Linked DNA regions of Arabidopsis thaliana. The protein of the gene in region 1 interacts with the protein of each later gene in a pairwise test. Each region holds a gene or a part of one and is shown on either strand. Other genes may lie near its edges.

What was found.
Region 2: the proteins of AT5G60142 (region 1) and SHY2 interact in binary tests that used the Arabidopsis thaliana proteins (3 or more experiments, as listed by UniProt).
Region 3: the proteins of AT5G60142 (region 1) and IAA9 interact in binary tests that used the Arabidopsis thaliana proteins (3 or more experiments, as listed by UniProt).
Region 4: the proteins of AT5G60142 (region 1) and AT4G00250 interact in binary tests that used the Arabidopsis thaliana proteins (3 or more experiments, as listed by UniProt).

Annotation. Positions count from the first base shown.
Region 1 is NC_003076.8:24,214,566-24,220,432, forward strand, and holds AT5G60142 (AP2/B3-like transcriptional factor family protein), read right to left. Parts: upstream 3,185-5,867; 5' UTR 3,027-3,184; coding exon 3,014-3,026; intron 2,900-3,013; coding exon 2,829-2,899; intron 2,788-2,828; exon of another isoform or gene 2,749-2,787; coding exon 2,130-2,748; coding exon of another isoform or gene 2,104-2,129; exon of another isoform or gene 2,044-2,103; coding exon 1,952-2,043; intron 1,861-1,951; coding exon 1,615-1,860; 3' UTR 1,382-1,614; downstream 1-1,381. Other genes in the region: AT5G60140 (AP2/B3-like transcriptional factor family protein), read right to left, coding at 1-549, 621-691, 774-786; AT5G60150 (uncharacterized protein), read left to right, coding at 3,646-3,820, 3,998-4,195, 4,293-4,546, 4,667-4,749, 4,853-5,016, 5,129-5,262, 5,390-5,653, 5,739-5,867.
Region 2 is NC_003070.9:1,126,362-1,132,286, reverse strand, and holds SHY2 (AUX/IAA transcriptional regulator family protein), read left to right. Parts: upstream 1-2,597; 5' UTR 2,598-2,667; coding exon 2,668-3,152; intron 3,153-3,234; coding exon 3,235-3,543; exon of another isoform or gene 3,544-3,647; coding exon 3,648-3,723; 3' UTR 3,724-4,138; downstream 4,139-5,925. Other genes in the region: AT1G04230 (rRNA-processing EFG1-like protein (DUF2361)), read right to left, coding at 4,459-4,464, 4,614-4,853, 5,031-5,094, 5,325-5,439, 5,614-5,752, 5,924-5,925. UniProt on the Arabidopsis thaliana protein: Aux/IAA proteins are short-lived transcriptional factors that function as repressors of early auxin response genes at low auxin concentrations.
Region 3 is NC_003076.8:26,251,203-26,258,397, reverse strand, and holds IAA9 (indole-3-acetic acid inducible 9), read right to left. Parts: upstream 4,991-7,195; 5' UTR 4,507-4,990; intron 4,452-4,506; exon of another isoform or gene 4,263-4,451; intron 3,975-4,262; 5' UTR 3,936-3,974; coding exon 3,394-3,935; intron 3,299-3,393; coding exon 3,072-3,298; intron 2,960-3,071; coding exon 2,818-2,959; intron 2,665-2,817; coding exon 2,603-2,664; intron 2,308-2,602; coding exon 2,264-2,307; 3' UTR 1,854-2,263; downstream 1-1,853. UniProt on the Arabidopsis thaliana protein: Aux/IAA proteins are short-lived transcriptional factors that function as repressors of early auxin response genes at low auxin concentrations.
Region 4 is NC_003075.7:110,909-116,622, forward strand, and holds AT4G00250 (DNA-binding storekeeper protein-related transcriptional regulator), read right to left. Parts: upstream 3,075-5,714; 5' UTR 3,003-3,074; coding exon 2,043-3,002; 3' UTR 1,797-2,042; downstream 1-1,796. Other genes in the region: MEE45 (Transcriptional factor B3 family protein), read left to right, coding at 4,063-4,116, 4,214-4,499, 4,606-4,715, 4,795-5,104, 5,198-5,319, 5,395-5,714. UniProt on the Arabidopsis thaliana protein: Transcription repressor that binds DNA in a sequence-specific manner, 5'-GCCT-3', to regulate the expression of PGR. Acts as a modulatory component for the glucose-triggered developmental leaf growth process.

The DNA.
Region 1 (5,867 bases):
AAGACCATCATCATCCTTAGCATCATAACCATCCTCAGCCTCATCATCATCTTCATCCTCAAGACCATCACTATCCTTAGCATCATAACCATCCTCAGCCTCAACATCTACTTCATCCTCAAGACCATCATCATCCTCAGCAACATTATCATCCTCAACAGAATAATCATTATCAGAATCGTCAGAATCATCACTATTAAGAACGATAACATCATCACTAGCCTGAGATTCTTCTTCACAATCAGATCCCACTTTGATGATGTCCTTGCTTTGCTCTGAACTTCTCTTAAGCCTCTTACACGTAGTCTCATGGTCAAAGATAGAGAAATTAAAAAAATGAGAGCCATCAAACTCAAATGACAAGAGATCTCCACCGTTCAGGTTTTCGTCCCTTACAATCTTCTTCCAACCACTAACCATAACAAATCTCTCAACCTCACCACCACATTTCTTAAACCCTAATTTCCAAATGTTTCCAGAAATGCTTCTAACAGTTACAGTTTTAGGCAAAGACTTTGGTAAACAGCTGTTGAAAGAAATGGGTAGTACCTGAAAAGTTTCTACAAATTTCAAGCAACCAGAAAACAAAAAACAGAGTGAAGAGAAGTGTGTTTTATTACCAGATCATCACCGGATTCACTAGGAAGGTACGGTTTAAAGAACTTTGAAGTAAAACCATTAGAGTAATTTCCTGTTCCAAAATAAGAAAAGGAAGAACATCAATGTACAGAGCACATTACAAGGGAAGAATCAGGAACAGAGAAGTGAAAAACCTCTTGTGTTCATTGTCGTCAACTTCTTGTGCTCTTGGAAATACTCTGAACCCTAATTTTGATCGGAAATAAAAAGGTGAACAAAGTTTCTCCAGATCCAAGTTTTTCCAGATGTGATTTGATCTAAAGGTGTTGGCCTTTTGTAGCAAAAACTTGCAAAAACAGAGGGTTCTCTCTGTTTCGATGCTTTTTCCTTCAAATGGAAAACAAACCATTAATAGTACTCTTCTTATTCAAAAATAATTCGTTAAGCGGACCAAGGTATCGCTAAGGCCCAAACAAAAAACAAGAAATGGGCCTTAAGTTTGGTTCAATCTATATCGTGTAAATGACATTATCGTCCTTAAACAAAAGAACCACAGTAAAGAGTCGAGAAGGGTATATTAGAGAAAGAAGGACTTGTGACATCTCAATTCTTGAACAAGAAACTTGAAACTTGAAAGAAGAATGAGATAGTGTTAAGTGGCAGAGTTCCAAGTATCTTAGTATTATTCTCCTCCTATGCCAATGCTTTTCTTATGATCACATAGAGAGTAATAACATTCTTTTTACATGAACTCGCAGGTTTTAAACAGCCCTGATGTGTGAACCATTCATAATGATTTCTCCCAAAATCTATAGCTCTAGTATACATTATTATTGTAAGACTGTGTTGATCGTCTTTTGCACTTCATGTTTCAGACAAACAAACAAAATCAAGAAGTGTATAGAAAGCATCAACATCGATTATGTTCCGAGAAAACCAATAAGATTCATAAAACCAAGTACTCTACTCATATAAAAACTCTCAAGTAAAAATAGATAATGTCTTGGAGTTAACGCATAAAGCCTTATCAAGAGATCATCCTCTTATAACATGGACCTTGATTTCTCGAACAAGACCATCCATCTCCTTTTCTAACTCACAAATCACCTTGTCATTCAACTTCACATTATTCCTTCTGATTATACTACGGAATCCCTTGATTGTTTGACCCTTAACTTTCCTCTTCAATTTACCAAAGTTTTTCTCGAGTGGATCAATCAAATTGATGAACTCAGGGAAGTGTAAGCCATACTTCGTTATGACCTTAGTTGGTATGCGCAGCTGCATTACAAAGATAACATCATAAAACAGAAGTGGTACATTATTTTAATGAAAATGCAAAAAGACATGAGACTTTCTTCACATTTCTTACCATATTATATTTTATTTGCCGATGCTGGTTCACTGTAAAGAAAGGGTTCATGTGATTATCCAGATATTGTCTGTCATGCTCTCCAGAAGAACCTATCAAAATTTATACGCAAGAAAATAAAAAGACAGTGATGCTCTCAGTCTCAGTTAACTTCACAAGACAAAAGTTTCTATTATACCTTTCTTTTTTTTCTCTGTTTTGACTCCTCTCCATCTTTCTTTCTCAACATCAGCATGATCATCGTCACCATAATCTTGATCATCATCATCATCATCATCATCAATAACTATGATATCTTCACTAGATGTATCTTCCTCAACATAATCTTGAACATCATTAATATCATCATTATCAGCATCATCAAGAGCTGTAATATCTTCACTAGATGTATCTTCCTCATTATAATCTTGAACATCACTAATATCATCATCATCAAGAACTATGAAATTTTCACTAGATTTAACTTCTTCCCCATAATCTTGATCATCATTAAAACCATCATCATTGTCATCAAGAACCGTGATTTGCACTGAACTTCTAAGCCTTTTACACGTTGCACGACCATAGATACAGAAATTGAAACACCAAGAGCCATCAAACTCAAATTCTAAGAACTCTCCACCTTTCAAATCTTCGTCCTTGACTATCTTCTTCCACCCATTAACCATAACAAATCTCTCACTATCACCACAAAACTTCCTAAACGCCACTTTCCAGATGTTTCCATAAATGCTTCTAACAATTACATTTTTAGGCAACGACTTTGGTAAAAAGCTGTTGAAAGAGATGGGTAATTCCTGAAGAGGAAGGATCTAAAAGTTTCAATAAACTAAAAATCTACATATAACCAAAAACAGAGAGAGAAGTGTATTTTTACCAAATCATCTCCGGAATCATCAGGTAAGTACACTTTGAAGAACTTTGGAAGACAATCATCCACAGAAATTCCTGTTCCAAAGCAAGAAAAAAATCAGAACATAGGATAGGTTATGTGATTGGAGAATCAAGAACAAACAATAGCATAAAGATCTTAACATAAAAACAAGAGTCTAAAGAAGAAACCTCTGTTCATCATCTTCACCTCTTTGAAACCCTAACTCTTTTAGTGAAAGTGAAGGTGAAAATGGTTCTTGAAAATAGAAAAGTAAAAGAGCTTTGTTAATAGATCTCCGATCTTTTGGTTTGCTTTAGAGATTTTGCCTTTTGTAGCATAACACAGAGACTGTATTGTCTTCTAGGCTTATTGCTACAAATGGAAAAATAAAACATGTGCTAACTACTTTTACTTCAATGCTCCATGAACCGAACCGATATGATTTTAATCAAACCGAAAAAATATTATCCTAACCAAACCAAACCAATAAAGGGTGAACGAGAATTTAAAATTCAAATAAATGGGCTTTAAAGTCCGGCCCAATCGATTTGCTTTAAATGACAATAATAACCTGAGATTATAGAGAACGTTGGTCCGATCTTCTTTCAATTTCAAGTTTTTCAACCTCTTCCCGCTTACGAGGCCGGGATATTCTATCAACAGTCGTCTCTTCCATCGGCCGAACAATTTCCGATTTACCGACTAGGATTTTCGCCTACAACTTCCGAAGAGATTTTCTCAGTGTAAGTTTGAAAAAACCTAGCTATAGGATTCCGGATTTCCTAATCGTCAGATCTTGGGCTCGAAAGAGAAGCTAGAAATGGATAAGGATCTCTTAGATATCTCTGGAGAAGACGACGAAGATAATTGGCTTCTGAAGAATACGCCGAAGAAAACTAATTCGAGCCGAGGAAAGAGTTATTTGAAATGCTCACCTCTCCAAATCCCTAGATCTAGTCGTATCGTTCCTACTCGGCCTCCTTTTTCCCCAATTGGTAAGCGCTTCAATTTCTCGTTCTCGATCCGAGCTTCGTTCTGATAATTTCTCTCTCCCTTTGTTAGAGTGTTTAAGCATCTGAATTAGCATTGTTTAAATCTTAATTTGATAAAATAGCAAATTAGTATAAATGTTGTGTATTCTGCGGATATATGAAGGTTAATACTTTTTGCAGGAAGAGTAACAGGCACCAGCAACAACAGGGAGCAGCCATGCGCTTCAGTTGATACAGATAGTGTAGGAAAGGAGAATGCTAAAGTTGAATTGCCCAAATTGAGTGTGGAGCGACAACAGATGAAGAAGAAGAAAAAGAATGCAGGGTTTAATTTGCGCAAGAGTTTAGCATGGGATAGAGCTTTTTCAACGGAAGAAGGTGACTTTTTTTTACCAATTTCCTGTTAGTAGTAAAGGTCAAAGATTTGGTCTATGTTACTAAGAATCTTAAGATGTGTGATATGGTCATGAACCAGGTGTTTTGGATTCATCTGAGTTATCTAAAATAACTGGAACTGCTTGCCATCTTGGTGGAGATCGGTTAGCTGCCATTCAGGAAGAGTACAGAGAGTCAATGTCAGCTTCCAAATGTAATGTTTCACCAGGACTACAAGCACTTGAAGAAAACTTATTTAACGACTTGCCTGTGAATAGTAAAAACAGAGAGAAGAAGCTTGTCAGTGGCATAATGCCCAAGTACGGATCACCATCTAAATCCCAATCTTCCTCGGTGAGTTTACTGGACCTAAATATTGTGGAGCTAATGAGGGTCATAAGTCGTTTCTTTCCTTGCGTAAATATATATATTTTGAGGCGCAGTCTATCTAAATGTCGAATATCTGCATTATAGGCCCAGAAAAAAGTTATCTCAGCTCAGGATTTAAGGAGTGGTTCCAAGCGCAGTGGCTGTCCCCGGCCTCCTCCTTCATCTTCATATCCTTTTCTTACTTTGAGTACTGAGTGTATAGGCAATCTTGATATCCTTTGCAGGTCTTGTTTGTGTTCTTTTTGCTTGTTTACCTTAACCATCTTGCACCCTGAAAAGACCTGCAAATGTGCATACAACAACATCACGTTGCAGGGAGCTGAGCATATCTAAAGTTCCTACTACCAAATCTGACCCAGTTACAGTTGGAAACAACATGAAAAGGACTACTCAAAGTCCAATCAAAGCGAAAAACAGTCAACCTACTCAATTAAGTATGTTCACTTCAGTTAGCAAATAAAAACTATTCATCTCATATCCTTTTTAGTTCTGTTACTTTTCATCCTGTTTATATATTGCTACATGGTTTTTTGTCTGATATGACAGAGAATTCTCAGAGGAGCTTAGGATCTGAAAGCTTCTCTAAAAACACTTCAAGCACCAAGAGTAAAACAAAATCCAGTCTGGCGAGTAAATCTTCAATTCCTAAGCCCTCTCTTAAGCAAGCTAGAAGAAATGTGGTAAAGCTATGCTGCCCTCTGCAAACCAATATAGCAAATAGTTTATGCACTAAAAATTTGCAGCAAATGCTTTGTTTCCAATATTCTTCCTATTAAGAGTAACCTATTGCATTTTCTTGAACTCTAGATCAGCAAATCTTCAGAAATTCCGACAGTATCATACTCACAGCATTCTGTTGTTGCAAAATCCAACGTTGGCCCTATGACTGCATCAGATGTGGCTATGCTTGGTCATGCATCAGTTATTCCAGACTCTAATGTAATTACTCTGGGCACCTCGTTAGCTCAAAGTTCTTGCAATAAAGCTGGAAGCACGCAGTCCGCAGTTTCACGACTGGGAAAGCCATCAGGCTTAAGAGCGCCAAAACCTTCAATTGGCTATTTCAGTCAGGTATATTATTGAAATATACTGAATTCTATCGTGAGATAACTATGGTTTTGTTCTTGTAACTCTAACATACTTCATATTTTTGCAGTCTGACTCTCAACCGTCGCAGAGTGCGGGAGACAAACACAGTCAGCTTCCCAGATCTGATGTTTGTTCAGCCGCTCATTTTTCTTTGATCCCTACCTTCAAGAAACCCCAAGTTGCTGAAAAGTTTCCC
Region 2 (5,925 bases), on another chromosome or scaffold:
AAGGAAAACATTTTAAACTCATACAAATACTTTGAAGATAATATTATTTATCAAAAGTTCAAAACTATCACTGTATCACATATTGACGCAAAAGTTTTTTTTTTTTTTTTAACGTTCTATAATAACCTAAAGAGTGTCAAACATTGACTAATATTTGAAGTTTTTCTAATGCAAACTAAAAAAGAAAAAAGAAAAAGAAAAGAAGAAACAGATCCCTCAAATTAATGAGGAAACCCCGAGGTTGGTTTACGAACCCAAGTTGAGTAAAATAAAAGATTAGTAGTAATATGTGGATAAGAAAATTGTAAAGTTGGCTTTATGGTTAAAGAAAATGGGAAAAAAATAGTGGTGGTTAGATTGAAGTGGTCCAGATACGCCGTCAAAGCAAAATAAAACTCCAAAATGTAGCGGCCCAGCCCATTTAATTACTCCTATAAAGATGGTCCAATTGCAAATGAAAATGTGTTAAAATTTCGGAAAGCATTATTTCTACTACGAAGGAATTTAACTAACTTAATAAAGAAAATATTCTAAACTTTGGACCACACCAATTATTATACAATGTGTTGATTTCTATTGTAAATCATTTATATCAACAAAAGAGTCATAAGTACACTCTAATTTCGTTGGTTAAGTGCTAAAAATCTTGCGCGGTTTAGCTTTCGGATTAGATTTTATAAAGAGTGCTATAATCAACCAGCGATTCTGTGATCAGATGTGGGACCTGCATCTTCTGTCATTGGTTACACGTGTACGGTTGATACGGTGGCTTGAGATCTTCTACTGCTCTGTAGGGCAAGCAAATATTTGAGTGACATGTGTTATGATTAATCATGTCGGCAAATACAATTACGAACGAATTATCATCATTATCTTCACTTCTTTGGCTAAATTGCTAATGGATATTGGAGGAATTTATTAGGTTTTAATCCGACATATAAGAGTATATACAAAAGAAAAATATTAATTTTTCAAATTTTATTTTAGAAAAAGTTTCATGAAATATTTTGCGTTAACTGCTACTATAGTAAATTCGTGATTGTTACTTAATGGTCTAATTTATCCTTTAAAAAACCAAAACAAATCATTTTTGTGTGATTAGTTGTTGTAGCTAAGACATTGTCATTTTATTTTCAGTATAAGTTACTAAATTCGTTTATATATATAATTAAATTGCAAAGTATGCTACAGTATGACATATAATGAGTGCAGAAAAATAAAAGATGATGCCATAATACTATAGTGAATGAGAAAAGCCTGCGGATATTCATGCCTAATAAAAGTCTTTAACTCCTTATGGATAAGATATATATGGGAATACAAAACATTTAATTTATATTTATTTTTTATCTTACGTTCCACTGACGGATTATAAATAAATTTTTTAGGAAAAACTTTATATTTGTTTGTGTGTGCAAACTTTATATTACATATATTAGTCATCAAATGCTTCTATATATTGTGACCAATTCACAAATAATGATATAAATATATATATATTCCCATCAGTTTTTCTTGGTATAAATACAATTAATTCAATTCAAACTTATGACCTGTTCTGTCAAGAAAACGAATCTAGTAATTTATGACTGAACCAAGAAGAGAATGTTTCTCACCGTACAGAAGAAATCAATGCGTGATGAGTACTGAGTAGCTGTTAGCAGTCACCTCTAATTGTATGAATTTATTTTGTTGAAATATGTTCGTTAATCGTTAGTACTTGTTGAAAGTCACTACGTACGTATATATGTAGATAAAAAAAAAAAAAAAATTCTTTTAGGATTATTGTTACACGTATAATGTAAAGTTATAACATAAGTTCTTAACAACTCTTTGCATAGTACCGATTCGGACTTCGATTTCGAAAGCCATGCATGAGAAAACCAAAAAATGGAGCCAAAACTTAGATCCGGTTCAATTCGAGTAGGTTATGTCAAAGACGTAAACATCTACAATAGGAGCTCCATATAAGTAGAATACAACCAATGCCACGCTGTAACATAAACAAAGACAGCGAGAATCTGTTAAAGATCTCTCAGGTTCCAAAACAAAACTACAAGACCCCATTATGATGTTACTGACATTTAACTAAAGCCTTGTGCTAGTTGATCCTTAAGGAAGATGTCCTGTCGTGATGCTCAGTTTTATTTCAAATTCATATATACGTGTGTGTGTGTGTGTGGTGATCATGATTAATAGGTTAGAGACAGAGAGACAAAAGTTGTGGGCTTTAACAAACCCCAGTAAAGAACAATAAGTAATTTTGTCACGTAGGCTCTGTTTTTGGCTCTTCAACACCCAAAGTACCTGTTTTTTGAAGATGTGAGACATAAATTATTACTTATGATCTCAAGTCAATAAACTCATCAAATCTGAACTACCCACAATCCAAACATTGAACACTAGCTACCTTTACATATAGAGTTAATTAACCATCCATCTATTGAGAAAACGAGTAAAATATGTATTCGGTTGTTGTTCTTGGTAAGAAAAGATTATGAGCTTACGATCCGAAATTTCTTGGTTGTGATAAGTTATTAATGGGAGATAGAGAGAGGTGATATGCCCATATGGCATACCACATGTGGTGGGGGATTCGAAGATTTGATCTGGACCGTCTATCACAAGAAAGAAAGATGAAAATATTTTGTTTTTGGGTTTGGACAGATGGGAGAAAAAGAAAGTGTCCCCACAAATGTCCCCAAGAAGATGGGACACACTTTTGCCTCAAAGTTGCTGTTACTGCTACCGACAAGCTTAGCTTTTTTTCCTTTGTCCTTAATTCAGAAAACAGTTTCTTCTCTCTCTACCAGTATCTATCTTTATTCTCCTTTAACTTGTATAAAACACTCAGCTTCCTCGAAGCCTCTCATCTTCATCATCAGCAGCTTCTCTATATCTCTCCTCTCTTTCAAGGATAATAACCAAAAGCTTTTCTTTTTATCTTCTCCTGCAATTCTTGAAGAAATGGATGAGTTTGTTAACCTCAAGGAAACAGAGCTGAGGCTGGGATTACCGGGAACAGATAATGTATGTGAAGCAAAAGAGAGAGTTTCTTGCTGTAATAACAACAATAAGAGAGTACTATCAACTGATACTGAGAAGGAGATTGAATCATCATCAAGGAAAACTGAAACATCCCCTCCTCGAAAGTAAGTTAAACTCACACAAAAGTCTCTGAATCTGTAGTGGTGGAGAATTCAGTTGATTGACCGTGTTTCTTCCTTTTTGCAGGGCTCAGATTGTTGGATGGCCACCAGTTAGATCTTACAGGAAGAACAACATTCAGAGTAAGAAGAATGAATCTGAGCATGAGGGTCAAGGAATCTATGTGAAAGTAAGTATGGATGGTGCACCATACTTGAGGAAAATAGATCTGAGTTGTTACAAAGGATACTCAGAGTTGCTTAAAGCTTTAGAAGTGATGTTCAAATTCTCTGTGGGAGAGTACTTTGAGAGAGATGGATATAAAGGTTCAGACTTTGTGCCTACTTATGAAGACAAAGATGGTGATTGGATGCTCATTGGTGATGTTCCATGGGAGTAAGTCTTCTTTCATATACCTGTCTGAAAACAATTTCCACAAAATCAAAAATCAGAAACAACAATTTTGTAAGTGTTCTTATGGGTTCTGTTTGTTGTTGCAGGATGTTCATATGTACGTGCAAGAGACTAAGGATCATGAAAGGATCAGAAGCCAAAGGTTTAGGCTGTGGTGTATGAGATATATCTTCAAGAAATCTAACAGAGACACAAAAGAACTTGAAGAAAAATAGAGTTTCTTTTGGTTCAGAGAAATCTCTGTCTGTGCTTGGGTTGTCGGGTTTCTCGGGCAAGATCTATGTTCATTGGATTGAATCCAATTCATAGCCTTTATTTACCTCATCGGTAAAATTCAAATGTAAACATGCTTAATGGTCTTAAGCATATGAAACTGGAACCTAATTACATTTTGTTTCAGAAACAGGGCAAAAGGTTGTCCTTAAATCTTTGGTTATGTGTATTACATTAATTAAAGTGTTATGAAGATTGAAGAGTTGTTTTTATATTTGTAGCAATTCTGTTTTGCGTTCTCATTGATCAAAGAGATTTTCAAGCAATACCCATTTTCTATTTTGGTTCACTAGTTCTTAGATCATATTATTGATGGTCGAGGTTGGATTACTCCCATTAATTAATACAATTCGATCAAAGCCAACATGAACATAAATCAATAGAAACAAAAAAAAAACTTATCTTATATGAGAAATACGTTTTGCCCAAAGCTTAGGGTTCATTTCATCAGCCAAAAACAACAGACACCTACCTCTCTGCTTTCATGGCAACATATATATACGCATTAGATCCAATCAGAAGATGTAAGACTAGACAGGCCGTAGTAATGAGTGAAGCTTTTGGAATTGATGAACTGTGTTACGAGCTTCTTCGTTTTCTCAGACATGGCGGGAGAGACCTTGTTCACGCCTGAAACAGCAAAACGAATAATATATAATCAGCTTGTAAAATGCAGATTCTTTAGTTATAGAGTTTGAAAGATTGATGCAAATGTACCAATAAGACTTTCAACAAAAGTACGAAACAGAATTCCAGGAAAGAGTCGAGAGAAAACTCACCTGTAGCTTCTTCTTCTTAGGCCTTCTCTTCCTCTTGGGTTTGTGAGCATCAGAATTAGAACTCAAGTTGCTACTCTGACTTGTATGCGAACTAGTGGCAGCATGTGAAGACTGGCTTCTTCTATGTGAAGTGTTGCTGGAGGAAGGTATCTCATTCCTCTTCACAGATGAATACTGACGAGATGTTGATGCAAACCTTGACCGTGGTGGTGGCATTAAAACCCTAGTAGAGTATGGCTTCTACAATAAAAGAAAAGAAATCACTTACCAAAATACTAACATTCAATATATAACACTTCATTTTCATATTCTTTGATCCCCCCCGGAATTGAACAAGTTACGTTTCTGACTTTCTCGGCGTATAAGAGTCCCCAGTATCATGCAACAACAAAACTGTGAGTAGCTTTCGCATCATACCTGATTTCTTTCGTCACTGGACATGCTCGATGTTGCTCTACCAGAAGCACTAGAAACCGGCTCTCTGAGAAAAAAACGCTGACAACAGTCAGAGATGATCTTTACTGGAAACGTTAAGCCAGAAAAGAGTCAACAATCGACTTCTTCTAGCATAGAAATCATATGGAATTTAGAGGTGAATACACCACTAGCCTCGTTGACTCTTCTTCATCTCTCATGTTATACACTAATACAATCGATAAACTACACTAAGTATTGAGATTAAAGAAACTAATCCACATTTACAAGGCGTACTTTGTGCTTTTATCAGTCCACTCATCATCCGCATCTGCTTCGTCACTTGAACTTCCGTTGACAAAGAAGTCATCGTCACTCAGGTCCAAAAGAGCATCATCTTCGCTCCCTGTCTCTGTTTTTCACACGAACCAAAAAATATTAATGATCAACATAATCAGTATTTTTTCAAAAGCCAACAGAAGGTCGGAATGCATGCAATGACAAAAAAAAGCACGCTGCCCCAAATTTTAAACAGAAATTCAAGGGAAAAAGGACCCATATAAACATCTCCACATATCATCATTACCTTCCAACTCTTTCCCACTGGCAGCAGCAAAAATTATGTTGGCTTTGATTTGCTTCCGCAATTTACTTCTCCGCTCAGATACTTGTAAATCATCAGATCCACTAAATAGCGATACATACTTCTCATTCTTGGGGAAGAACTGCATTGCACATATCAAGATCTCAGTAGCATTATTTCAACAGACTCATTCTATTGGATAACTAGGAAATGTAGCAGAGGATAACACGCTGAAGAAATTGTGAAAAAGAAGAACTCGTCTATTCTTCCGACTAACACAGGAAACTGGATTTGGATTGTATAAAATGCTTACCC
Region 3 (7,195 bases), 2.0 Mb from region 1:
GGAGGCTACACTAGGGTTGTACAAATATAGAATGTTCCATAAAGGAGATAGAGGAATATTATGATATTAAAGAGAGATGATCCTATGTATCCTTAACAAATCTAGTTTAGTTGGATTTGATTTAACATTTGAAAAACTTGTATACCAACTTAATTCGAAAACTGTATGGAAGATTTTGAATGTCCTAACACAATCACAATTATTGTATATATATACTTGGTCTGTCCGGACAAAACTGCTAATCAAACCTTTCAAAGAAAAAAAGGAAAAACCAAAAAAAAAAGAACTTAACTAAACAATAAATCAATAATAATGCTGATACGATATATTTTGTCCATATATATGAGATCGTAAATCTCTCCCATGACTGATAACTGATAAGAAATCTATGGATACCATCAATTCGGTGGGTTTGTTGAAGGTCTACCAAATCGAAGAAACACACATTCATTCTCGTAATCGTACGTATATTCATTTATCTAGCTTCTTTTATTTGAATTTTTACGCAATATGCAATTCGATTCGTAGACTCAGTTGAATATAATTGACCTAATACCTAATGCTTATAACTAAATATTATAGATACTATTCTTGAATGCAACATTGAGATGATCAAATCATTTACATTTACAATCTTATTTTTCTCGTTTGATGAAGAAATAATTTTGGGGAACAACCATATATAGATGAGTGATAAAGGTATTGCCACGTTCCATTACTGAGAAGCATAATTCAATTCATATCTTTTGGAGACAAATTCGACATGTCATTCCCTAAGTCTATTTCATATATTTAATTTTAAAAACATTGAATATTACTATATAGTTTATCAACTTATATGGATGTATATAGTATGTCCCATTCGAATAAGTGCATCAAAGCGAAACGAATTAAATGAGATTCACGACCAATGATTGTTGTTTATGTGTATACTATTAAGTTCACGTGAAGCTAGCTACAAGAATCACAGATATATACTACATTATTTGGATTAAAGTTTTAAAGTAACAAGAGTGATTTAAATTCGACCCGTAGGTTCTCTTAAACTATGAGAGTACTATATGAGTCTTTAATTATCTTGATCGAATATATGCCTTGGAATTGATTAATTAACGCCTCTTTGAAAAATTGGACAGTTGAATATAACATTTCATTTTAGGTGGGGTTTAATCATATTGTTTTGTCAACGCTAACGGAATTATTAAAAATGAACAATAAATGATATCACAAAAATAATTTTCATAAAACAAATAAGCAAACCACCATTGCCAAACCCAAAGAGGCGCACTATGCTTCCACCTTCAGGAACAGAAAAATAATAAACGTTCCTTGAATGAGAAATGGGAAATTAGTATATGGGAATTTATGTTCATGTATCTTTGACTATTTTTCTCTCAAACGATATTATTCGATACTATTAAACTATAGTTATTCACTAAATCTAAAACTGATTCGTTGAAATTTATGATATCTTCGTTTGGGGATTGTACTATATAGTTATCATGAGTTTGTACGCAGCCCATGCTTGCTAAGGTAAACAAAGTTTCATGGAAGGTTAAAAAGTGAAATAATGATATCAAAACCTTTTCCCGGCGAAATTACTTTTATTTATCTTTGATTTGTCTTGTAGCTTTTGGTTCTTCAGGTGAATTATTCAAGTTGGTTTAAAGATCCGTTGGTGGCAATGATTTGGTAGCACAGTTTAGTTATGACAGTTATAAAAAGATTTTTTTTTCTTTCTGATTAATCTTGATATTCCATTTAGAATAGAGTCATAGACATTGAGAAAAACGTAGGTTTACCACTTCCGCATTCAAATGTGTTAGAATTTAACAATCCACCTCAAAGATTTAAGTACTGATTAATATTTAAGATTGTTTTGCAAATGCAGAAGAAGAACCTCCATGTTCAATGATAGAAAGCCAAATCGTAAAACCGGATTGTCTATCTTCTCTTCTCGAGAAGAAGCAAAGAAGAGAATAACAAAAACGTTACATCAAATAATATCTCAAAGGTAGAAGTCAACCACACATCCAAATCAAACACAAAACATAAAACAACGACCAGTTTACTGACTAAAGCAACAAACAAACAACAAAAATAGATCATTTTTAATTCTTCTTCATTTCCTTACATTCGTAGTCTTACTTACTTCATTTTAAAAATTCAGAAACTAAAGATATTGATGTTTTGAAATTTAAAAACACCACCAAAAGATCGCACATATTTTGTATAGTTAGAAAGCTTTGTCATGTTCCATCTTTTAAGCTCTCATCTTCGATTTCTCCATTGCTCTCGGAGCTGCAGCTGCAATATCACCAGTTCACCACATTGAATCATTAAGACATTTTGAATCAGAGAAGACGAGTGATCAAACATGAATTGAAATCAGTTTAATTTCGATTTTATTTACATGTTAATTTGTTGTATTTACTCCCAAAAGAAGACGAGTGATCAAACATGAATTGAAATTTCTAAATCAGCTACAAGTAACTCACACCAACAAACCACTAATCTCATCATACACACTACTTGTAATCGGTTTTAGTAGAGATAGTAGTTTACGTTGTAGCTTAGGAGCAGAGAGAAGAATAGACTTTACCTAACCCAATAGCATCACACCCTTTCATTATCTTCAGCTTCTTGCAGACATCAATAAACATCCTGTAATATACATCGGATCAGAAATCACTCATGAGCGCTTATACCAATCACCATGATATAATCTTCTATGGCATGTTAGATTTGATTCTAAGATATCTGGCAGAGAGTAGAGAAAGCTTCTAACAAGTTTTGAATATAAGAGAGGAAACTTACTCCCACGGAACATCTCCAACAAGCATCCAGTCACCATCCTTATCCTCATAAGTGAGCACATAGTCTTTTCCATTCAAAAGATCCTTGAGCTTGGTCTCACTAAGCATATCCTTCCCAGCAGCTCCATTAGATCCACATTGACCTAAACATCAAATAAACAGTGCAGGTTAACTACTTTGACTGCACTCATTCATTGATCCTTAAATAGAAAGAGGTTTTCAAACACATCACTAGCAATCACTGAAACATCTCACCAAGAGTGAAAGTGGTGAACATTTTCTCCAAGGCTGAAGAAAGCTCCCCGTAGTTAGTGTAGCTCCTCAGGTCAACTTTCCTCAGATAAGGAGCACCATCCATACTGACCTTCACGAAGAGAGCCCCAGAACCTGGCCTCCCATCAACTTCGTCACTGTTCTTACAAGTAGTGGCCAATGTGTTCTTCCTGTAGGATCTCACTGGAGGCCAACCGACAATTTGTGCCCTGAAAATTCCAGAATCCGAAAAAACACCAGTTAGCTAGCTGTTGAAAGTAATCCATATCAAAATCGAACGAATGCTCCTATCTTCTATTCATACTTGGCTGCAGGTGGACTAGAGCTATTGTTTGTAGTGCTAGACTGTCCTTTGGGTATGTTTTGTGGCACATCTTTCTTTGTTACAGACTGGGTGGCTGCTGCTTCAGGGAACATCCAGTTTTTCTCAGTATACACTGAACTTTTAGCTTCAGCAAACTGATCCATTGTGTCAGAAAAGCCTCTTTTGTTTCCCGATGCATTGTTCTTTTGCGAGGAGGAGCATATCTCATCTTTAGAAGGAAGCAAAGGAAAGAATGGCTTCTCATCTAGCTTTGCTGGGCTCAAAAGGTTAAGCTCTGTGTCTCTCGCAGGAGATTGTGATCCAGGAAGACCAAGTGTCAGCTCCGTAGCCTTGAGGCTGATAGTAGCTTTGTCATCTTCAGCAAGGGGAGAGAGAGTAGAGCTTCCAACAGAAGAACAATCAGAGAGACCCAAGTAGTTATGCTCTTTAAGTCCTCCTAGAGTGTTCCTGGAGATGCAATTGCTAGTAGGTGAAGAACTAGCCACCGATACATTGCTCTGTAGCTCCTCTTCCGGGGACATTGGATACTCAAGGTTTCTTTAACTGCAAAGCTGCTTTACCTGATGATTTACACAGCACAAAGTCCTCCACATTAAATTCACATAACCATAAACAAATCCTCAAACAAAACCCTAAATTACCAGAAAAAATCAAGAACTCAATTTCAATCAAAATTCGAAGAAACTCGAAACCGTATCAATTAGGGTTTCAAAAGTAGATTGCATCTATGAAAAACTCACAACCAAAATTTAGAGCAAAATAAAGCTCAATCTGAGAAAAAAATGGAAAGCTAAAAATAAATAGAAGTCAACTTAAGGTCAGATGAAGAAACTACACCGTTGAGTTACATTTTTCGAGCTGATCTCAGATTTGAATTTCCACAGAATTCTATCTACAAATCACTAAACCTAGCAAGGTTTAAGCCAACAGCTCAAACAAACCAAAATTCGCCATAGAAATAGTGAGGAAATCAGCAAAGAAACTCAATAGCTAATAGATCTAATAACTACTAACTACACACACAAACAACAACAAGCTAAAAATTACCGGATTTGAAACTATGTATAAGAAGAACAGAGAAGACATAATTACCTCAAACGGAAAAAACAAATCCTGGATGAAAAATGGAAGCTCACAACGAAGAAGAAGAAGACGATCAAAAATAAGAGAGTCTGAGATATTTTGGAGAAGAAGAGTATAATTTTTAAGAAACTGTAGAAGATGAATAGCAAAGAGAAAGAGAGAGAGAAGTGTCAAGGTCCTTCCATTAAAGCAGAAAAAAGCTTAATTATCATTACCCAGAAACTCGTAGCCGAGATTAAAATTAAAATAACTAAACAAAGTGGTAGAATAGAAAATAAGTGGAAAAAGTTGCGTATTTTTATTTACGAATGGATTCTAATCCAACGGCTCAGATTTGATCGTGCTGATAATTCTAAACCGTCGGATTTAAATCAGCAGATATGAACCGTTGATGTACAAATGTCGGGAGTCGGATCTTTAAACAAAATTATGCCACTTTTCTGGCTCCACCCGAAAGGGGATGGTTGTCTGCAAATATTAAATTCCGATTCTATCCTTTTGTTTTTAATGACTAATGTAACCTCTATGTGATGATAATGTGATTGAGGAATGAAGGGTAAAATGGTAAAGAGAGAAAAAGAGGAGTGAGGAGGGGACAAGAAAGCGGCATTCCAAGTCGGTTTGCCGGGTGGTGAATGGGACATCTAACCTCTTCCACTTTCTTCCTTTCTCTCTCTATCTCTACTTTATTAATCTAAAATTAATTAAGACTTGTTAATCTTTTTTTATAATCACTTTCTTTCTTTCGGATTAAATTTAATTAAATTCCGCCACCTTCCTAATTTCTTTAACTTTCATTATTACGTTTCCTTATCTTTCAATTTTTTTTACTTAGATTGGCCCAACTGGATGGGGCCCATTGAGAAATGTTAGTCCCCCCAAACTTGAATTTTTCATTTTGCTTTTTTTTTTTGGTTTGGCATTCATTGTAGTCTTCTAGATAGATGAATGGGTAAATAGTATAAGTAACTTTAATAATGACTATAGATTAATCTTTTTCATAAGGTTACGTCACGTGCTAGATTTTTGTTTTTTATTTTTGTTGAATTTGCACTTAAATAAGTAAACTGATTGAAACAAAATTATAGTCATGACAAAAATTAGATACATACAAGTTTGTCCGAATTGAGTTTAAAAAAAAAATCTCATTTTTTGAAAGTATAATTTGTGGTGTTATTGTTAGAAGTACAAAATTTGAATGTGAACAACATACATATTTCTGGAGTATTAAATATGTCTGAATTGCACTGTTACGATCATCATACACAACGTTTAATCCATAGTAATAAGGATGATTGGTTAAAAAGTAAAAAAGTAAATTCGTTGGTAATAAACAGGTAAATTATGTATGTTAATTTTTATAGTCGGTTACATTCTTTTCGTGTTAAAAAGAAAAAAAGAAAAAAATTATAGTCGGGTGTAATATACATAAAAAAAATTACTGTAAAAAATTCAAAGTAATTAAAAAAGGAAGGTAATGGGAATTGGGGAAAGGGGAGCATAATAATAACAAAAGGGGTGAAATGGGATTGAAGAACACGCATGGGAAGCACAAAATATCTCAATCTGACCGTAGGATTTGATGGTAAGAGAGTAAGAGAGGCCTGTGTCCGTTCATCATCATCATGACCTTCTCTGACTCTTTTTTTTTCATCATCACTCTTCCGTACCACTCACGTTATCTCTTTTTTACCCCTCTCTATTCTTTTTAACCTTTTTTCTTTCCTTTTACCAAAGATTTAAAGACGATTAATCAAAAAAAAAAGTCTTTAACACCTTATGCACAAAGAGGAAAGTAAAAGAAAAATATTCACCGTCCAGAATAATAATACGGCATTTCTTAACCTTCCCCGTAAAAAGTTTTGATTTTCTCTTTCTCATATTTTGTTTAATCGTCTGTATAATAAGTAAAGGATATTAATTATTTCAAATTACTACAACTACCATCAGACATTATATTTAAAATTATGAGTACATGAAAATATGTGTCTAATTAAAAAGTGATTGGTAAAAAACAATAATAGTAATACAGATAAATTATTACAAAAATGCAAAAGTAAACAGTAGATCAGATTAGCAGCATTTGCGAGTACAAATAATGCGGGTTGAGACAAGACAATGAGACCCGTAGTGCTTTTGTCCTTCACGCTTATTTTATTAGTCTTTGATTGATGATGGATTCACTAAAGTTAATTAATCTTTTTCCCCGTAATTAATTAATTTATAATTAGAGTGGAGGAAATCAAACGACAAGACACGTTAGACTGTTTACTTTGGGCCCAGACTTTGCACTCTAGTATATAAAAATTCATTTATAATTGGGCTTTTATTTCATATTATAACATAGGCCCATAAGCCACTATCCTTCTTGATGGGCCATAATATACTTACCTCTCTCGTATTAAGGATTTGTTGAATTTATAATCTACGTGTTGACCCCAAAAAAAATGTAATGTACGTAAGATATTTCTTCGTTTAGTCAGTCATGTTGCTGTCAACGTTTTTATAATTCTTTGTATCACAATTTTTTCAATTTTTTTTTAACTAGAAATACACAAAAACAACTAATTATTTATTGCAAATTGTTATATGTTTTATATGTCTCAATATAGGGTCAAACGACGAGCTACTAAATCGGATTTGCACAACAAAATAATATAATTAATTTTATCGAGTTCGTAATAGGACAATGTACCGA
Region 4 (5,714 bases), on another chromosome or scaffold:
GGTGAGACTTACCTTCGCTGAAAATGGAGGAACCGTTGTAAAATTTTGATCATCGCTTCTTCGCTTGGGGGAAGAAAGAGTCTCTCGATTTTGATTTTATTGGTTTTGGTTTTGGTCAACTTAACTTACTATTGCCGGTCACATATTTCCACTTGTCAACCTTTTTTTTTTTTTTTTTTAATATATATATTATTCTCTAAATATAAATAAAATATATAACATTATGACTTTTAGTTAAAAATGCATATTAGGTAAAATCTCTATAAATTAATAATTTTAAGATTGATAAAATTTATTAATTTGAAGAGATATTAATTTATAAAGAAATTTTACAAATTATGTAATTTCTTATAATATTCAATCAAAAAAGGTATTTTTTTTCTTTTCTTATAATCAATAATATTTTTGAAACCAATTACAATTATTAAACAATTATCAAGTTTAAAAACCAAAACTAAATTTTTCGATTTAGTAAAAATATTAGAATTAAATTCTACAAAGAATTAATACAAATTGAATACTATATTCATATTTTAGTATATATCTATATATATATATATATAAATTAGTGAATTTATAATATTGATGGGACCAAATATTTACATATGATTTTCACAAAAAGTTATTATTTTATTAATTTATCGATTTGTATCAATTCTTACACTGGTTTCAACTCGGGATTGAATGAATTTATTAATTTATAAAGTTTATTAATTTATTGAATATTAATTTATAGATGTTTTACCTAAGACCTGACGGTTTTATGGGCAACATACAAAAAAACAAAAAATCCAAGATTATTTTGAAAGGTTTTAAAATTTAGGGCCAATTATCGTTAAAATCAATAAAATTGGGGCCATTTTGTAAATAATTTTTGTTAAAGAATTTGAAAAAAAAAAAATGGGCCACACTAAATGTTTCATATTGCTTGGCTACCCCTGCATAAGAGTTAAGACAAGTACGCGGACTAACAAAGTTCATTTTCTTGTTCAAGTATGTACTTTACTGTTGTTTATTTTTCTGCAGCTTCACAATATCATAGTGCAATTCTATAGCTTTCTTGGTTATACATAACAATATTGATATTAACCATTCAACTTCTTCTACGTGAGGAAGATATCTGTTGAAAATCACACTTTCACTCTCAAACTACCTCTTCCAACATTCTTTTGAGGTCAGCACTCTCACTCTCTTGTCACTCTGTTTTGCTTTTGTTTTCTTTAGAGAGAAACAAGAACACGTTTAAGAGCATGATGTCTTGATAATAAAACTTGGGTGATTCTCTTACAAGATACAAACACACATACTTATTATAGTTTTACTTGAAACACTTACACACACAAGCATGCTCTTAAACGCATAATTAACTCTGATTTCTTGCAAGCTACTCTACTACATATTGGGACTCTAACAACAAGCATGCTCATAAACACAATTTATGTTTCTTTTTATTTCCTCACCTACTTTGCAGTTTCAAGATGCAGAATCTCTTAATTTTTTTATTATAGACATAATAACTTCTGTGAAAGATTGTAACTAAATGTATATGTTTTATTTTGGTTGCATTTGGTACTTGAGAAAGAGGAACTAGTGTCACCAGAATAACTCAAACTGCACGTAATTATCATAAACAATAAATATACAATTTACAAACATCATTTCAGAATCCATTTTGTTTAATGAGGTTGAACCTATCACCATATAAGCTATTTAGAACTCTTGTTGAATATGTTTGTGAATCCATTCTATTGTGTGTTTCTTTGTTTTGTAATAACTCTGGTCATGAGTTTTGAGTAGAGAGACATTAAAAAAAGAAGCACATTTACAAAATCCTAAAAGTTCATTACAACCATCGACCAAAAGGTTTGTTAGACAACTTATCTTAATCTTGTTATAGCTAATTCTCACACGAGAATCCAAAAGACTAAAAATCCATAAACGTAGATAGAAAGATAAACCCTAAGATAGATAACAAAAGAGGGCATTACATCCTTAGATTAACCCTATACAATCCCTAAGATAGCTTCTTCTTCTTCTTCTTCTTAGTTGGTTTGAGCAAGCACCGAAGTCACATCCTTCAAAACATCCATCTCCGCCAACAACAACTCACATTTCTTAGCGTCCACAACCTTCATCTTCTCTTGAATCTTCTTCTTAGTCTCCAGAGACACCTTGCTCCACTTCTTCTTCACAGAATACTCATCCAAACCGAGATTCGCGATAACCGGAACAAGAAAAGACTCCTCAAACCACTCCGAATCTGCTCCAAGAATCACTTGCTCATCTTCTATAACCAAAGGTTTCTCCACCTTCTTCTCCTTGCTATTAGCCTTACCCTTAACAAGAATAGATTCATCTTTCTTCACAGGAGATTCAACGTTCATACCATCAGATCCCCAAATCAAAACAGCCAAACCCAAACATTTCTTATCATGATTCGATTCACCACTTTTGTTCTTCCGGTTAACAAAATACTTATTCTTTAATCTTCTAATCTTGTCAAAGAACTGGACATGACTAACATCAAAGCTTATAGATTTCTTGGCGATATCAAAAAACGCATTCTTATGATCCCAAGGACTTGTACCTGTCTCAGCTTTGAAATCAATCACTGCCTGTAGAAGAGAGATCTCATCTTCTTCACTCCATACTCTCTGAGGATTCGCCTTTTTGTTATCGTCCTCTTTCTTAACTCTTTTGACATGCATGTCCCTTGAGGTGCTTCCTTCACCAGCTCGCTTCTTCCCTGACTTCACCGCCGGTGATTCAGCAGCACCTTCTTTCTTCTTCCGCCTGGTTAAGACGAATGACTGCTTCTCTGAGTCATCAGAAGAATCTGTCTTAGAATTCACAGCGGCGGAAGGAGATTTTAGGGTTTTAGAGGAAGGAACTGTGACAGGATCTTTGGGTTTGCTTTCTTCAGAAGAAGACTTAAAGATCTCTTCAGAAGAACTCTCAACTTCGCTTGAAGAAGCGGTTGCTGGACTTTCCAAAGGAGCCATTGGATTTTCTTCTTTCAGATTCTCGGGTATGAGTACCAAGTGGGAACTGAAGGGACAATTTTAGGGTTTGTGAGTTGCGAGACTTTTTATTTTTTTACACTGTAACATCTCTTATATTTAAGAAACAATTAAAGTAAATAAAGCTCAACAACAAAAACTAATTAAGCCCAACAAAATAAATAAACCATCATCCTTATATGTAACACTGTAACATGGGAAAAAAAAACAATTTTTTGCCCAAATGTATAAGAAATTTGTATAACAAAATTCATACTAGATTTTCTTGTTGTAATTCTTGGTATACAAAATGAAAGGTTTCTTTGTTGTAAAACAAAAATATATGTACTAAAAGTAATTTTACAAAGTCGCTTTATATTTTTACATTTAGAAAGATCATTTGATCAAGTGGGAAACCTTTATTGAAATTAACAAAGTGGAAAAGATTGTAAGTAGTGAAATTTAGTGTCATCTATAGACAAAAAAAATGTAAATTAGAATTTAGGAATATGAATTCGGTTAGGATTAGTCGATTAGGTTTATTGAGTAAACTCAATAAAAATTACTGTAGTAATACTTCAGTACTCGGTTCGGTTTATAGTTACCGAACTGAAACCAAACGATTATTCTAATTTAATTGAAGTTACCAATTTTTATCTTAAGTTTAATTAAAATTATTGAAAAATATGAACTCTCTCTTACAGTAAACCGACCTGAAATTGGTTTTTGGTTCCAATTTGACACCAATATTTTATCTTGAACCAAATCGAAATTTATGCTATTAAAATTGAACCGAGCCGAACTTTACTTTCGGTCTACTTCGGTTCAAGAAATTTCAATCCAATACATATGAATTCTGAAAGTCCTGAACCGAACCAGAGTGTTTAACCACAATAAAAGTCTCTTCAATGGTCTCTTCTTGAGTATATCAATGGTCTCTCATAGTTTCAACAACACCAATAAACTGTCATCTTCAAGTTGGAGTTTATTACACTCGTTCCTTCAAGAAACTGTACCGTCGACTTTCAGATTTAGCCATTTAGGACTTCTCAAGATTTTGAAAATGGCGCATCAACATTTCTTCAAGCCTCTTCTTCCTGGCTTCCACGCCTCCTTGGTACTCTCTTTCTCGCTCTTTCCCTTCTTCTATCTCTGTCTATGTCTCTCTGAGAAGCTAAAGATGAGTCTGGTTTTGTATTTGCATGTTGCTTCAGACAATTCCTGTAGCCTTCTTCTTGAAGTATATAGAAGGAAGATATGAGCAGAAGACGGCGAAGCTGAGATCAGACGCGTCAAAGAGAACTTGGGAAGTGAAGATAGATGGCCAGAGACTCACCGACGGTTGGAAAGAGTTTGCTGTCTCACATGATCTTCGAATCGGTGACATTGTTGTTTTCAGACAAGAGAGTGACTTGGCTTTCCATGTAACACTGTTGGGACCTAGTTGTTGTGGGATTCAATATGGTTCGTGTTCAGTCGAAAAGAACAACCTCGGTGACGGTGAGTTGTGTTCTGTCTCTGGCTCTTCAAGAAACGTGGTTTGCTTTTGGAATGTGGATCAGTGAGTAGAGATAACCAGTTTGACTATATAACACTTATTTTTCAGAGAAAAAGAAAGTGAAGGAGAATCCAAATGGAGAAGCAGAGTCTTCTTCACGAGATCCCTCTTGTTTTGTGGCTAATGTTGCGCCTTCGAGTCTACGTTATGACTTGATGGTATTTGACTCTTAAGAACCCGAAAAGAAACTCTCATTCTAGGGTCTGAACTCATGTTGTATTCTAATGAATTTTTCAGAGATTTCCAAGGGGTTTTGTGAGGGATAATGGTGTAGTCGGATCTGGAGAGATTGTTCTGATGAATGAAAAGGGCAGATCATGGAATTTTAACTTGAGACAAAAGCCATCAAACGGAACAGTTTATGTTAGAGGAGGGTGGGTGAGTTTTTGTGATGCCAATGGGCTTAAAGCTGGAGATAACTACACTTTCAAACTGATCAAAAGAGCAGGAACTCTTGTTCTACGTTTGTTACCCAATGAGCCAAAAGAGGAAGCTAATGAAGTGTCTCTTCCCGAAGAACCGGAAAGCGATGCAGAGCGCAACCTTGGTGAGTTCTGTTCTTTCTTTCTCTAACTCTGCCCATGATACTTGACATTCAAGAAACGTGCTCATATGGATTTTATTTCTTTCTTTTTTTCAGAAAAGATTCAAAGGAAGGAGAAAGTGAAGAAGAATGTAACAAGAGAGGCAGAGTCTTCTTCACAAGATCCCTCTTGTTTTGTGGCTAATGTCTCCCCTTCGAGTCTACGCTATGACACACTGGTATTCTACTCTTACTTTTGAATCCCAAAAGAAACTCTCATTCTAGTGTCTGAAACTTATGTTGTATTGTTCCAGTATCTTCCAAAGCGTTTTATGAGGGAAAATGGTGTAGACAAAAGATGTGGAGAGATGATTCTGATTAATGAAAAGGGAAAATCATGGACTTTAGATTTGAAAGTAAAGAAATCATCCGGAACTTCTCTCATCAAACGAGGATGGAGAAGTTTCTGTAGTGCCAATGGACTAAGAGCTGGAAGTATCATAACTCTCAAACTGATAAAGAAAAGAGCAACTCTTGTTCTACGTTTGATCCCCAACGAGCCAGAAGAAGCTAATGAAGTAGTCTCTCTTTCGACAGAGCAAGAAAGCGATGAAGAGAGTATCCACGACGAGAA